Caenorhabditis elegans: one gene and its partner. Changing the gene in region 2 together with the main gene of any one other region gives a genetic interaction. Each region holds a gene or a part of one and is shown on either strand. Other genes may lie near its edges.

Region 1 (8,058 bases), 5.0 Mb from region 2:
GTCGTCAGATCCTTCACATTTATGTCAAATTGAGTGAAATTTACAATATGCTTAATAGGGATCAGAAACTTGGACCGGTTGTTCAGAATTTTAGCTTTCTTCCATTGCTCGAGTTCCACAACGCCATTTATCGGCTCATAGTACTTTAGGAATTGAGCTTGGAGAGTTATTTCTTCGAGAATTTCAGGTTCGAACTTCTGAAGTATTTCAGAAACTTCACGGGCGGTGAAGTCATCGATAATCACTTTTTTCGCTTTTAACTTGAAGTTTAAGGATTCGAAAAATGACTCAATTGCCTTTAAAATGATTTTTCTTTCATTAAAATTGTTGGTAGCCAGCTGTATCAGAAATTCATCAACTTCAGGGTACTTCACCAAGCTCTTCAAGTCCTCCATCAACATTTCAACGTGGTTCCTTCCAGCATGTACTCGGCCACTGTTCTTATATTCAACTTGGCAGGCTCCATCAACTTGCTCATAGGTAACCCCGCCGTAGTTCTCATCGAGAATTAGTCTTGAAAATTTTTCATGAAAATTTACATGAACCGTCTTCAGATTTGGACCGAGGTTATCGATTATTGCTCGGAAGCTGTAGGACACTTTTCGAGCGATTAGCCTGAATTTTCAATGCTTTTTTTCTTTAAAAAAACAAGGAAAACTCACCTTTCCAAAGCTTCCAGATTATTCAAAATTTGTTCAATAAGTTCGATTGGCAAGTCGGAGAGTGATGACATTTTGAGAAATTTGAAGAAAAAATGAAGTGATTTCAACACAGTTCTCTGTGACTAGTGGCCTAGTTGGACAGCGCAGAGACGCAGGCGCACCAGCTGACTAGAGAGTATGAGAATCAGACACCGAAGGTGTTTCAGAACTGGCCGCCAACTTGAACCTGTAAAATGTAGGCACAGCTTGAACCCTTGGCTTTAAATAAAATGTAGTCTTAGTTTGAAACCATGTGTATTCAGACAGGCTTTTCACTGTCTTACTTCCAGAAATTTCAGGAGTCGCATACGAAATTTACGTAGCAGTCATCGAAATTTTAAACAGAAAGCTAAGACCTGCGGCTAAGCCTGAGACTAATTTTAGGCCAAATTTTTGAGCCTAAGCCTAACTATTAGTTAGACCTTCTTATGTATTTGGCGATGGCAAAACGGTAATATCGAAGATTTTCAATTATTTTTGCCATTTTTCAAACAGTTCATGTGTATTCGTATTAAAACATTGTAGGGGTCGAAACATGCGACATTTCTTTAAATTTCCTCAAAAGCTCGTATTCAAAATTTTGGTAAATTGCCAAAAATTTTTTTTTGAAGTTTTATTATGATATTTGATCTTTTTTACACTATTGGAGTAGTTTTTAACACTTTCCCCACTGACGCTACTCCACCTTTAATAACGTGGTGACGTCACAATCTTTTTGTAGATCAAACCGGCATGGGACAGCCTGACACCACGTGAAAATACCAAAGGAGGCGAAATTTTACAAATTCAATTTTTGTTAAAACTGATTTGAGCCCACAAAAACAAAAAAGTGATGGCTAAAAAAAAGTGATGGTTAATTTCACGACACTACTTGAATAACCCCATTTTATCTGAATTTACGGTTTTGCCGCCAAATACCTAACGGGGCCCAATTTTTTTGGGTTCTAACTTTTTTTGTCTTCAAATTCAAATTTCCCCTTATTATACATTCAAAAAACCACGTACTTCTTTCATTTTTATCTTCTCATTCAAGCGAAACTTTTTCCCGCGGAAATTTGAGTGCAAGCGCGCTCCACTGCACCTTTCTCGTCTGCGTCTCCACCTTTCCCATTGTCTCTAATCCGTGACGAAACCTCATCATTTCTCGCATTTTGGAGGGGAATTCAAATTGATTTCTCTTGGTTTTTCTCGTTTTTTCTTGATTTTTCTCGTTTTTCAGCTCATTTTTAACCAAAAAATCGGATTTTTCAACTAAAATTCCGCATTTCAGCCATGGAAGACTCGTACAACGACATGGAAGACCCCGGCTTCCGCCAATTATCTGACATGGAGCTTCAAAAAGCGCTGGAAATGACCAAACAGAGCTCGATAAAGAACAATTTGATGCTCGGGCTCGACAATGAGCTTGACTTTGATTTTGGTACAATATTTGTCGAATTTTAAGCCGAAAACCCCGAAATTTCCAGATTTCGACGAGGATGAGGACCTGGATCAACCACAAATGGGCACACGAGCCGATAAATCGTTGGGATTGTTGGCGAAACGATTTATTCGAATGATTCAGTACTCACCGTATGGAAGATGCGATTTGAACACTGTATTTTTGAAAAAAATCGTGAATTTCGCAATTTTCGTATTTTTTAGGCCGCCGAGGCGCTCAATGTCCGGCAAAAGCGACGAATCTACGATATTACGAATGTTCTCGAAGGAATTGGTCTTATTGAGAAAAGAAGCAAGAATATGATACAGTGGAAGTAAGAAAGTCGAATTTTCAGCAGGAAAAATGACGTTTTTCAATGAATCGGCGGAAAATCGTATTTTAACAAGAAAAATGACATGTTTAGAAAAAAAATCAATTTTGTGTCAAAATATTGATTTTTCAGCTCAAAAAGCTTAAAATGCAAGAAATTTCGGAAAATTTCAGATTTTTACGTGAAAAATCGCATTTTCAGCCAAAAAATGGCGCTTTCCGGCAAAATGGATGAAAATCACATTTTTTGGAATATAGCTCCTATTTCCTGTAAAAATCGATAAATTCGATTTCTAAAACACTAATTTTTGAGATTTTTCACCGAAACAAATCGAATTTTCATATGAAAATTTCATTTTTGACACAAAATCACTTTTTAAAGTTAAATTTTCAATTCAAAGCTCAATTTTGTGGCAAAATCCTTATTTTTCAGCTTAAAAACATGAAAATTGCTGAAAATTTCAGATTTTTACGTGGAAAATCGGGTTTTCAGCCAGAAAACACAAGAAAAGGTCATTTTTAACACAAAATTACATTTTCAAAGCCAATTTTTCTATAATAGCCTCAATTTCGCTCCAATTTCGGTGAAAATCTCTATTTTCCGGCTCAAAAACCGCTTTTTTGCACATTTTTCCCCGGAAAACTCAATTTTTTGTTTTCAGAGGCGGTGATTTTATGCTAAACGTGAAGGAAGGGAAACGACAATCGGCCACAACAGAAGAAGAAGATCGAATGGAACAATTAAAAGCTGAAATTGAGCAATTAAATAAGGAAGAAGAGCTCATTGAGCAACGTCAAAGATGGCTTCAGCAGGTAGCGAATTTCCAGAAAATTTGATGAAAAATTTGCTGAAAATCGATGAAAATTGAGCCAAATTTACGCAAAAATTGGCTGAAAAATGACCAAAAATTTCAGAAAAATTCAGCCGAAAATTGAGAATTATTTGCTGAAAGTCGCTAAAAATTTGATCAAAATTGAGCAAAAACTGGCTAATTTTGATAGAAAATTGAGCAAAAATCACTGGAAATAAGGCTGGAAATTGGAAAAAATTTAACCAAAAAGTCCTGAAAAAAATAGAAAAATTCAGTCGAAAATTCTGGAAAAATATGGCTGAACATCATTAAAAATTGAGCCGAAATTTAGAAATAATGGGGCTGAAAATCGCTGAAAAAAGCTGAAAATTTGACTTAACTTCCTGAAAAATTAGTCTGAAAATCGTTGAAAACTGCTGAAATTTTGCCAAAATTTCCTCCAATTTTCTGAAAAAAATATGGATGAAATTTCGAGAAAATCAAGATAAAAATGGTGCCAAAATGATGAAAATTTTGTAAAATAAATTCTGGAAATTTCGGCTAAAAATTGCTTGAAATTGGTCCAAAACTGCTGAAATTTGGCAGAAAATTTCTTAAAAATTCAGTCAAAACTTCTGGAAAATTCGCTGAAAAATGGTCAAAAATTCATTAAAATTGCGGACAATTTTTCTGAAAATTTATAGGAAATTTCAGGCAATCTGAGCCAAATTTTCCACAATTTTTTTTTGAAATTTTTGGTCAATTTTTCGACAGTTTTAAGCCAAAACCGCTGAAATTCTCAAATTTCAGAGCCTCCGAAACATGACAGAATCCGTGGAGAACAACAAGCTCAGCTATGTGCTCCGTTCACAGCTCGCCGAGATTCAAGGCTCAGATCTTACGATTGGAATTCAAACGAGAGTCGGCACACAAGTTCGGCTCAGTGATCCGGAGGTAGAGAAGAAAATGACGCGAAAATTGGAATTTTCAATGAAAATTTAATGGAAAAACCTGGAAAATTGTGGAAAATTCATATTTTTCTTGGAAAAAACGGGTACAAAACCCGATTTTAACTGAAAAAAACGCTGATTTTTGCTCAAAATTAATTCTTTTTAAGAATTTTCGATGAGAAAAATGAATTTTTTAATTTAAAATACATAAAAAACTAGAAGACTGTCCAAAAACCGAAATTTCTGTCAAAAAAGTGTAAAAACTTCTCCTCGTGGAGTACACGAGCTGCGTAAATCTACGCAATATTTTTCTGTGTTTTTTGTATGCAAATTTGTAAAAAAAATATCAAAAAAATAAATTTTTGGCTGAAAAACGGTGAAACATAATTTTAAACAATATTTAAATACAAATTATTTGTTCTAAAAATTTTTTAAAAATTCTTAAATTTCCCTGATTTTTAGCAAAAATAACGAAAATTCTTCAAAAAATTTGATTTTCTGCTAAAAAAAGTGTAAAAGCCTCCCCTCGGGGAGTACACGGGCTGCGTAAATCTACACAAATAATTTTTTTCAGCTAAAAATTGATAAAACGAAAAAATTAAATAAAAATGTTAAAAAAAAAGAAGAAACTTTTTCAATTTTTAGAAAAAAAAAAGAAAAAAAAAGCTCCTTTTTCCAAAAAAAAGCAGAATTTTTTTTTGTAAATTTCCCAAAATTTGGCGAGTTTTCATTTTTTTTTTGTTGTAAATTTGACGATTTTCGTAAAACTGTCGTAAAATACAAAAAAATAGACTTTTTTTCGAAATATTTTGTTAAAAATCAGAAAAAAAATTTTTTTTAATTGATTTTAAAATTCACAGAATTTTTTTCGATAAATTTCAGAAAATTCCTGAAAAAACTGAAAAAGATTTTCAAAAAAAAAAACGCAATTTTCGCTCTATTTGGCTCTAAAAAACAAGACAATTAAACAAAAATCAGAATAAAAATTTTAAAAAAATTGTTTATAAAATTTTTGATAAATTTTAGAAAATTTCGGAAAAATCTTCTTTTTTTTCAAAAAAAAAATCGAACATTTTCAATTTTTATTTTCCCCCATTTTTTCCAATGAAATTAAAATTGCAGCAAGTCGATTTTTGATCGAAAAAAAGCATTATTTCTATGTGAAATGCATAAAAACCTATTACGGGAACAATAAATCATGAGAATGCGTACTTGGTGCATTTTATTTGACGCGCGATATCTCTTAGCGAAAACTACATACAGTAAATGCTTAAATATCTATTGTTATTTGAGTTCTTACTGTAGTTTTCGCTAAGAGATATCGCGCGTCAAATAAAATGCACCAAGTACGCATTCTCATGATATATTGTTCCCGTAATAGAAGACTGCCCAAAAACTGAATCTTCTGTCAAAAAAGTGTAAAAGCTTGTCCTCGGGGACTACGAGCTGCGTAAATCTACACAATATTTTCCTGTTTTTTTTCTCAATTTTCGCTTTTTTTTTTGTATGCAAATTTGTAAAAAATATCAACAAAAATTTTTTTTTGGCTGAAGAACGACGAAAAATAATTTTAAACAATTTACAAATCATTTGTTCTAAAAAATTTTTTTTAAATCACACTTGTTTCTTAAATTTCCCTGATTTTTAGCAAAAATAACGAACATTCTTCAAAAAATTTGATTTTCTGCTGAAAAAGTGTAAAAGCCTCTCCTCGGGGAGTACACGAGCTGCGTAAATCTACACAAATAATTTTTTTTTTGGATAAAAAATTGATAAAACGAAAAAATTAAATAAAAACGTAAAAAAAAGAAGAAACATTTTCAATTTTTAGAAAAAAAAAAAAGGAAAAAAATGCTCTTTTTTTCCAAAAAAAAAGCAGAATTTTTTTGTAAATTTCCCAAAATTTGGCGAGTTTTCATTTTTTTTTTGTTGTAAATTTGACGATTTTCGTAAAACTGTCGTAAAATACAAAAAAATAGACTTTTTTTCAAAATATTTTGTTAAAAACACAAAATTTTGTAAAAAATCCGAACAAAAATTATTAAAAAATTCATAGAATTTTTTTTGATAAATTTCAAAAAATTCCTGAAAAAACTGAAAAAGATTTTCAAAAAAAAACGCAATTTTCGCTCTATTTGGCTCTAAAAAACAAGACAAATTAAAAAATATCAGAATAAAAATTTTTAAAAAAATTGTTTATAAAATTTTTGATAAATTTTAGAAAATTCCGGAAAAATCTTCTTTTTTTTCAAAAAAAAATTTTCAATTTTTATTTTCCCCCATTTTTTCCAATGAAATTTTAAAAAAATTGCAGAAAGTCGATTTTTGATCGAAAAAAAGCATTATTTCTATGTGAAATGCATAAAAACCTAGAAAACTGTCCAAAAACCGAAATTTCTGCCAAAAAAACTAAAAACTTCTCTTCGGGGACTACACAAGCTGCGTAAATCTACACAAAAAATTTTTGTGTTTTTTTTTTCTCAGTTTTCGCTTTTTTTGTATGCAAATTTGTAAAAAAGTATTTAAAAAATAAATTTTTGGCTGAAAAACGACGAAAAATAAATTCTAAAAATTTACAAATTATTTGTTCTAAAAGATTTTGAAAAAATTACACTTGTTTCTTAAATTCAGCAAAAGCAGAATTTTTTTGTAAATTTCGCACAATTTGGCGGTTTTTTAATGGAAATTTGACGATTTTCATAAAATTGTCGTAAAATACAAAAAAAATAGTTTTTTTTCAAAATATTTTGTTAAAAATCAGAAAAAAAATTTTTTTTAATTGATTTTAAAATTCACAGAATTTTTTTTCGATAAATTTCAGAAAATTCCTGAAAAAACTGAAAAAGATTTTCAAAAAAAAAAACGCAATTTTCGCTCTATTTGGCTCTAAAAAACAAGACAATTAAAAAAAAATCAGAATAAAAATTTTAAAAAAATTGTTTATAAAATTTTTGATAAATTTTAGAAAATTCCGGAAAAAATTTTTTTTTTCAACAAAAAATCGAAAATTTTCAATTTTTATTTTTTCCCCATTTTTTCCAATAAAAAAAATTGCAGCAAGTCGAGATACACGGTGGACCATCTTGGTGTTACCTGAAAGATCCCTCTGGACCCCTCCGAGCCGCCATCGTTTCCAACCATGAGCTACATGATTTTGTACAGAGAGAACGAGCAAAACGGCCTGGTGAAGAGCACGTTGACGCTGATGCTCCAGATGAAATGATGGATGATTCAAGATATCGGAATCGGCGGACGATCAATGATGATGAAATGTTTGGTTTTGAGCAGAAAGGTGCTGCTGAATTGCTGGAAATTTTGCTTATTTTTTAAAGCAGAATTTTGAGAAAAAATGGATTTTTTTCACTGAAAGTAGCTAAAAAATAGCTTAAAAATGAAGAATTTTGAAAAAAAAAATTGGAAAAATCATCATTTTTTCCAAGAAAACACCAAAAAAACTGGACTTTTATGGACGTTTTTTCGAAGCTAAAAAATCCAAAAAATTTACTTTTTCTGATAAAAAACATTTTCCTTTTGTTTTCTGCACCGTTTTCTAGAGTTTTTCGAATCGAAAAATAATTCTCAGATTTTTTCACATGAAAATTTGAAATTTAAGCGAAAAAAACATCAAAACTGTTTTTTAACAAAAAAAATTGAAAAAAAAAACCGGAAAACCTAGAAATCCGCCAAAAAATTTGAGAAAATTTTCACAAAAAAAAGCATAAACTGAATTACATAAAATTCTTTTAAAAATTACAGAAAAACTGGGAAAATTTGGGAAAATTACCTCTTCTTTTTAATTTTATTTTTCGCATTTTATGAACGAAAAGTTTGAAAAAAAAACGTTTTTCCAGCATTTTTTGCCCCAC
Region 2 (4,129 bases):
CTGAAAACGTGCCATAAAACCTTTTCATAAGAAGAGTAGTAATCTAAACGCGATTACGGTGTAATGCCAGAAAAAGTAAGAATAGAAGAAATTGGCAAGCGTATTTTAATGGTACTAATATTGTGCACACTTTACCTAGGAATATATTTTTCATCTCTACAATGTTGACTAGCGCCCTGAATGCTCCAAGGATACTGTTTTCCAACTAAATGTTCAACTGTTCAGTATTTATATTCTGCCTCCTAGAGGCGTTCAAAAATTGCGTATGCCACCCATGTTTCAGGGGACATCGCGGGCAATTGGGAAAAGTTTTCAACCAGCAATAAACGCACCTCGGCAAAGCCTCATTGGTCACGTTATCGCCCCAGCGCAAAGCTAAATTCAGCAGCTCACTCAGCTGATCCTATAAAACACAGCAACCGACAAATCGCGGCTTTCGCGCACAATGGTGCTTTCTGCATTCTGTATTCTTCGGAATGCGGCGCGTGTGCGTTGCGGTCGTCTTTTTCGAATTGCAATCGCTCGCGGTTTATCGGAGTCTCTCTGTTTTCTTGAAACGAATCTCTTCCCTTCGATTAAAACTGCATAAAAACTAATAAAAATCTCAAAATTGATTTTTCTTCTACTTTCTTAAGATCTGTAAAGTTTCGTTCCTCCGAATTCCTCTTTATGATTATTTAGAAAACCTCGCCCAATACCTTATTCTTCACTCTTATCGGTATTTTTTACATGAAATTATCATTGATTCTCAGCTAACCAATTTAATTTCAGGGACTTCTATCAAAATCAACTTTGATCATGTCGGCGTGAGTTCACATTGTTTTCATTGACCAGTAGTTTAAATTTATTTTTACAGCCAAGCCAAACCCCGTTCAGAGATGACTGCTGAAGAACTCGCTGCAAAGGAGGACGAGGAATTCAATGTCGGACCACTCTCCATCCTCACCAACTCAGTCAAAAACAATCATCAAGTTCTCATCAATTGCAGAAACAACAAGAAGCTTCTCGGAAGAGTTAAGGCTTTTGACAGGTTAGGTTTCTTAGAAATACTATTAAGTAAAAACTCACAAGTATTTGTCGGTAGTAAACTTCAGACAACATTTTTTAAAGAAAAGTGTTTCAAAAATAATATTTGAATCATCGATAGTGAACGTATTTTGGTTGTCGTCTCGATGCTGTAGCAAAATATCATTTACTATATATAATGCATTTATTCCGTTTGTCCATAGTTTGTAGTCTGTGAAGGTTTGGCTTAGTGTAGGGATATAGTCGGGGTACTGTAGTGGTACAATAGTGGTACGGTAGGAGTACTGTATGATTATGGTAGTTTCAGAAAAATTAGTTTTCAGCCCCAGAAGTCGGGGCAGCGCCAGAGGTGCGGTCCACGGCTGGTAGATTTAATAAAACGGCACGATCCTCCTGTGCTGTAACAAATTGTCGTGGCATCAAATTATTCAAACACGTATTGCTACGATTTCCAAAGGGAAAACACAAATCTTACACTAATATAAGTACTTTCTCATTTGCCGTAACTTTCGTGTCCCGCAAAGCATGCAAAATTCCAAGAGGAGTTTTCTACTATTGTTCGTATAAAAATAATTGGAACGTATAGTCTAATTCTTTACTTTTTCAGACATTGCAACATGGTCCTCGAAAATGTGAAGGAAATGTGGACTGAAGTGCCAAAGACTGGAAAGGGAAAGAAGAAGGCAAAGTCTGTCGCCAAAGATCGTTTCATCTCAAAAATGTTCCTCCGCGGAGACTCCGTCATTCTCGTCGTCAAAAACCCACTGGCACAAGCTGAATAATTCACCTTCAGAAAATCTCCCAATCAGTACGGTTTTCTCGTATTTGTTATGACACCTTACAATTTTCGAAATTTTCACTCTTGTTCTTCCCCCTCCCGTTCACCCTGTTGTTTCGTTTCAATGATCATCATTTTCCACTTTTTATTTATTGATAAACGTTCCTATTTAATACCACAGTCGTGTTTTTTTCTGAAGTTGAATCCGTATCCTCGCGGCAGATGATTTTTGTAGTTCTGCGTGATTGTTGCTTGAACTTGAAACCGGTTTTTCGATTTTTCGTCGATGTTGACTGTCAGTGCTATCAGAATATCATCGTCTTTCGTCTTCAAAGTTCAGGTTACTATTGGTCGTTATTTTTTGAATAAAAACGCTATATTCCACGTTTTTCATGAAATGTGATTTATTGCCATATTCCAAAAAATCAATTTCAGAAACGAAAAATGCCGATGGTCAGAGTTGCGACGAATCTACCAAATGAGAAGGTTCCTGTTGATTTTGAGGTTTGTGTTTTAATCAAACATTTTCTAAACGACTCAACAAACACTGAACAGTCTAGAGAAAATTTGTAGAAAAAAACAAGTATTTTAAGAGAAACAAATATGGTTCCCGGTCTCGACACGACGAGTTTTTTCGTTGCGAGAAAGTGTGCGCCTTTAAAGATTACTGTAATTTTATACTCGAGTTTCTGCAGAATTCTTAAAGATTTTATATAGTTTTTCTCACAATAAGTTTTTCAATGAAAATATTTTTAACGAAAAACTATGAACAATTGATGAAAATTCCTCAGCAAGGGAAGTTTAAAATTACAGTACTCTTTAAAGGTGCACACCTTTTTTTTTGCATTTTACAAGCACCTGTCGTCTCGAAACCAGGTACAGTATTTTGGGACCACAACTTGGCAAAACAGACATGTTTTTGAAAAATAATATTAAGACAGTTCAGACAAATTTTTGAAATATTTTATATTCAGTTTTCGCATCCACAATTTCGGAAGTTGACCAAAAAGTGGATTTTCTACGAATTTTTGATATTTTAATAATTTTCCGTTTTTCTAGAGTATTGTACGGTTACAAACATGAACCATTGTTCCAAATTCTCAAAAGTCCCGAACTTTTCGTAGCGCCAATTTACCAAAGAAAACTTTCAAAAATCTGAACAAATGCCAACTTCACATAGTATTCCTTTTAAAATGTGAATTTTCAATTTAAGATTCGTCTCACCGATCTTCTTGCTCGATCAATGGGAAAACCAAGAGAGAGAATTGCTGTCGAGGTATATTAGTAATCTTTAGTAATTATTAACTTTAAAGTTTCAGATAGCCGCCGGTGCTCGTCTAGTTCATGGGGCCACTCATGATCCTGTGACCGTAATTTCGGTAAGTGACTTAGGAACACTTTCCAAAAGTAACACCTTGGTAAACCAAAACCTTTAAAACTACATTTAAGTTCCTTGTTACACTTAGAAAGGAAATTAAAACTTTATGAAACCATCCTTTTTCTGGCAGAAGTTCAAAATTCTCGCAATAATAAATTCTTTAGATCAAATCAATCGGAGCAGTGTCTGCTGAAGACAATATTCGCAATACGGCAGCCATCACTGAGTTTTGTGGAAAGGAATTGGGTCTTCCAAAAGATAAGGTAAGTGTAGTTTATGTCAAACATTTAAGTCACAAATATTTCGTTATGTTTTATTAATCAAACAATGGATTATTGATATTTCAAAATTTCAGGTTGTTATCACATTCCACGACTTACCACCAGCTACGGTAGGGTTCAACGGTACAACTGTCGCCGAAGCAAATAAGAAATAATTTTTGATGTCAGTTGTTCATAATGTGACTAGATTAATTTTGATTTCATGCACTTTTGTAATTGCTCTTCGTAAATTTTAATAAAGATATATATATTTCAGAAGATTTAAGAACAAATTTAAATTATGAACATTTTTATTTGGCAGATGGTAATTACAAAAATTGTGTACATAATGCATTTAGACCTTGGCCTTTCCGGCGACAACTGCTGATTCAATTCCGCATTGATCATCTCCACGGTAGATCTTGAAGAAACCGCTCTCTCCCCAGTTAACTCCCCATGAGTTGGCAACAAGCCAGTATGGAGATCCGCTCTCAGTTCCCCATCCGATGATCTTAATGGCGTGTCCTCCGAGGTACTTTCCGGCGGTGTGCTTGTAAACTCCGCTCTTGTATTTGTAGAAGTCTTCGTAAACAGAGAATGCAGCCTCAACTGGTCCATTAGCGTAGATTTCAGCTTGGATGGATGCAGCATTCTTTGGAACAGCGTAGGCAGAGACTCCTGAAATAA

Evidence for each region.
Region 1: of mif-2 (region 2) and efl-1, changing one enhances a phenotype caused by changing the other (phenotypic enhancement), as found in Caenorhabditis elegans (one large-scale study listed by BioGRID).

Annotation. Positions count from the first base shown.
Region 1 is NC_003283.11:16,959,589-16,967,646, reverse strand, and holds the start of efl-1 (E2F/DP family winged-helix DNA-binding domain-containing protein), read left to right. Parts: upstream 1-1,971; 5' UTR 1,972-1,973; coding exon 1,974-2,121; intron 2,122-2,167; coding exon 2,168-2,298; intron 2,299-2,345; coding exon 2,346-2,455; intron 2,456-3,113; coding exon 3,114-3,264; intron 3,265-4,052; coding exon 4,053-4,196; intron 4,197-7,249; coding exon 7,250-7,484; intron 7,485-8,058. Other genes in the region: fbxa-90 (F-box domain-containing protein), read right to left, coding at 1-615, 663-733.
Region 2 is NC_003283.11:11,976,366-11,980,494, reverse strand, and holds mif-2 (MIF-like protein mif-2), read left to right. Parts: upstream 1-2,090; coding exon 2,091-2,144; intron 2,145-2,239; coding exon 2,240-2,308; intron 2,309-3,017; coding exon 3,018-3,080; intron 3,081-3,123; coding exon 3,124-3,183; intron 3,184-3,346; coding exon 3,347-3,445; intron 3,446-3,537; coding exon 3,538-3,618; downstream 3,619-4,129. Other genes in the region: snr-4 (putative small nuclear ribonucleoprotein Sm D2), read left to right, coding at 799-806, 857-1,030, 1,634-1,808; cpr-1 (Gut-specific cysteine proteinase), read right to left, coding at 3,798-4,120.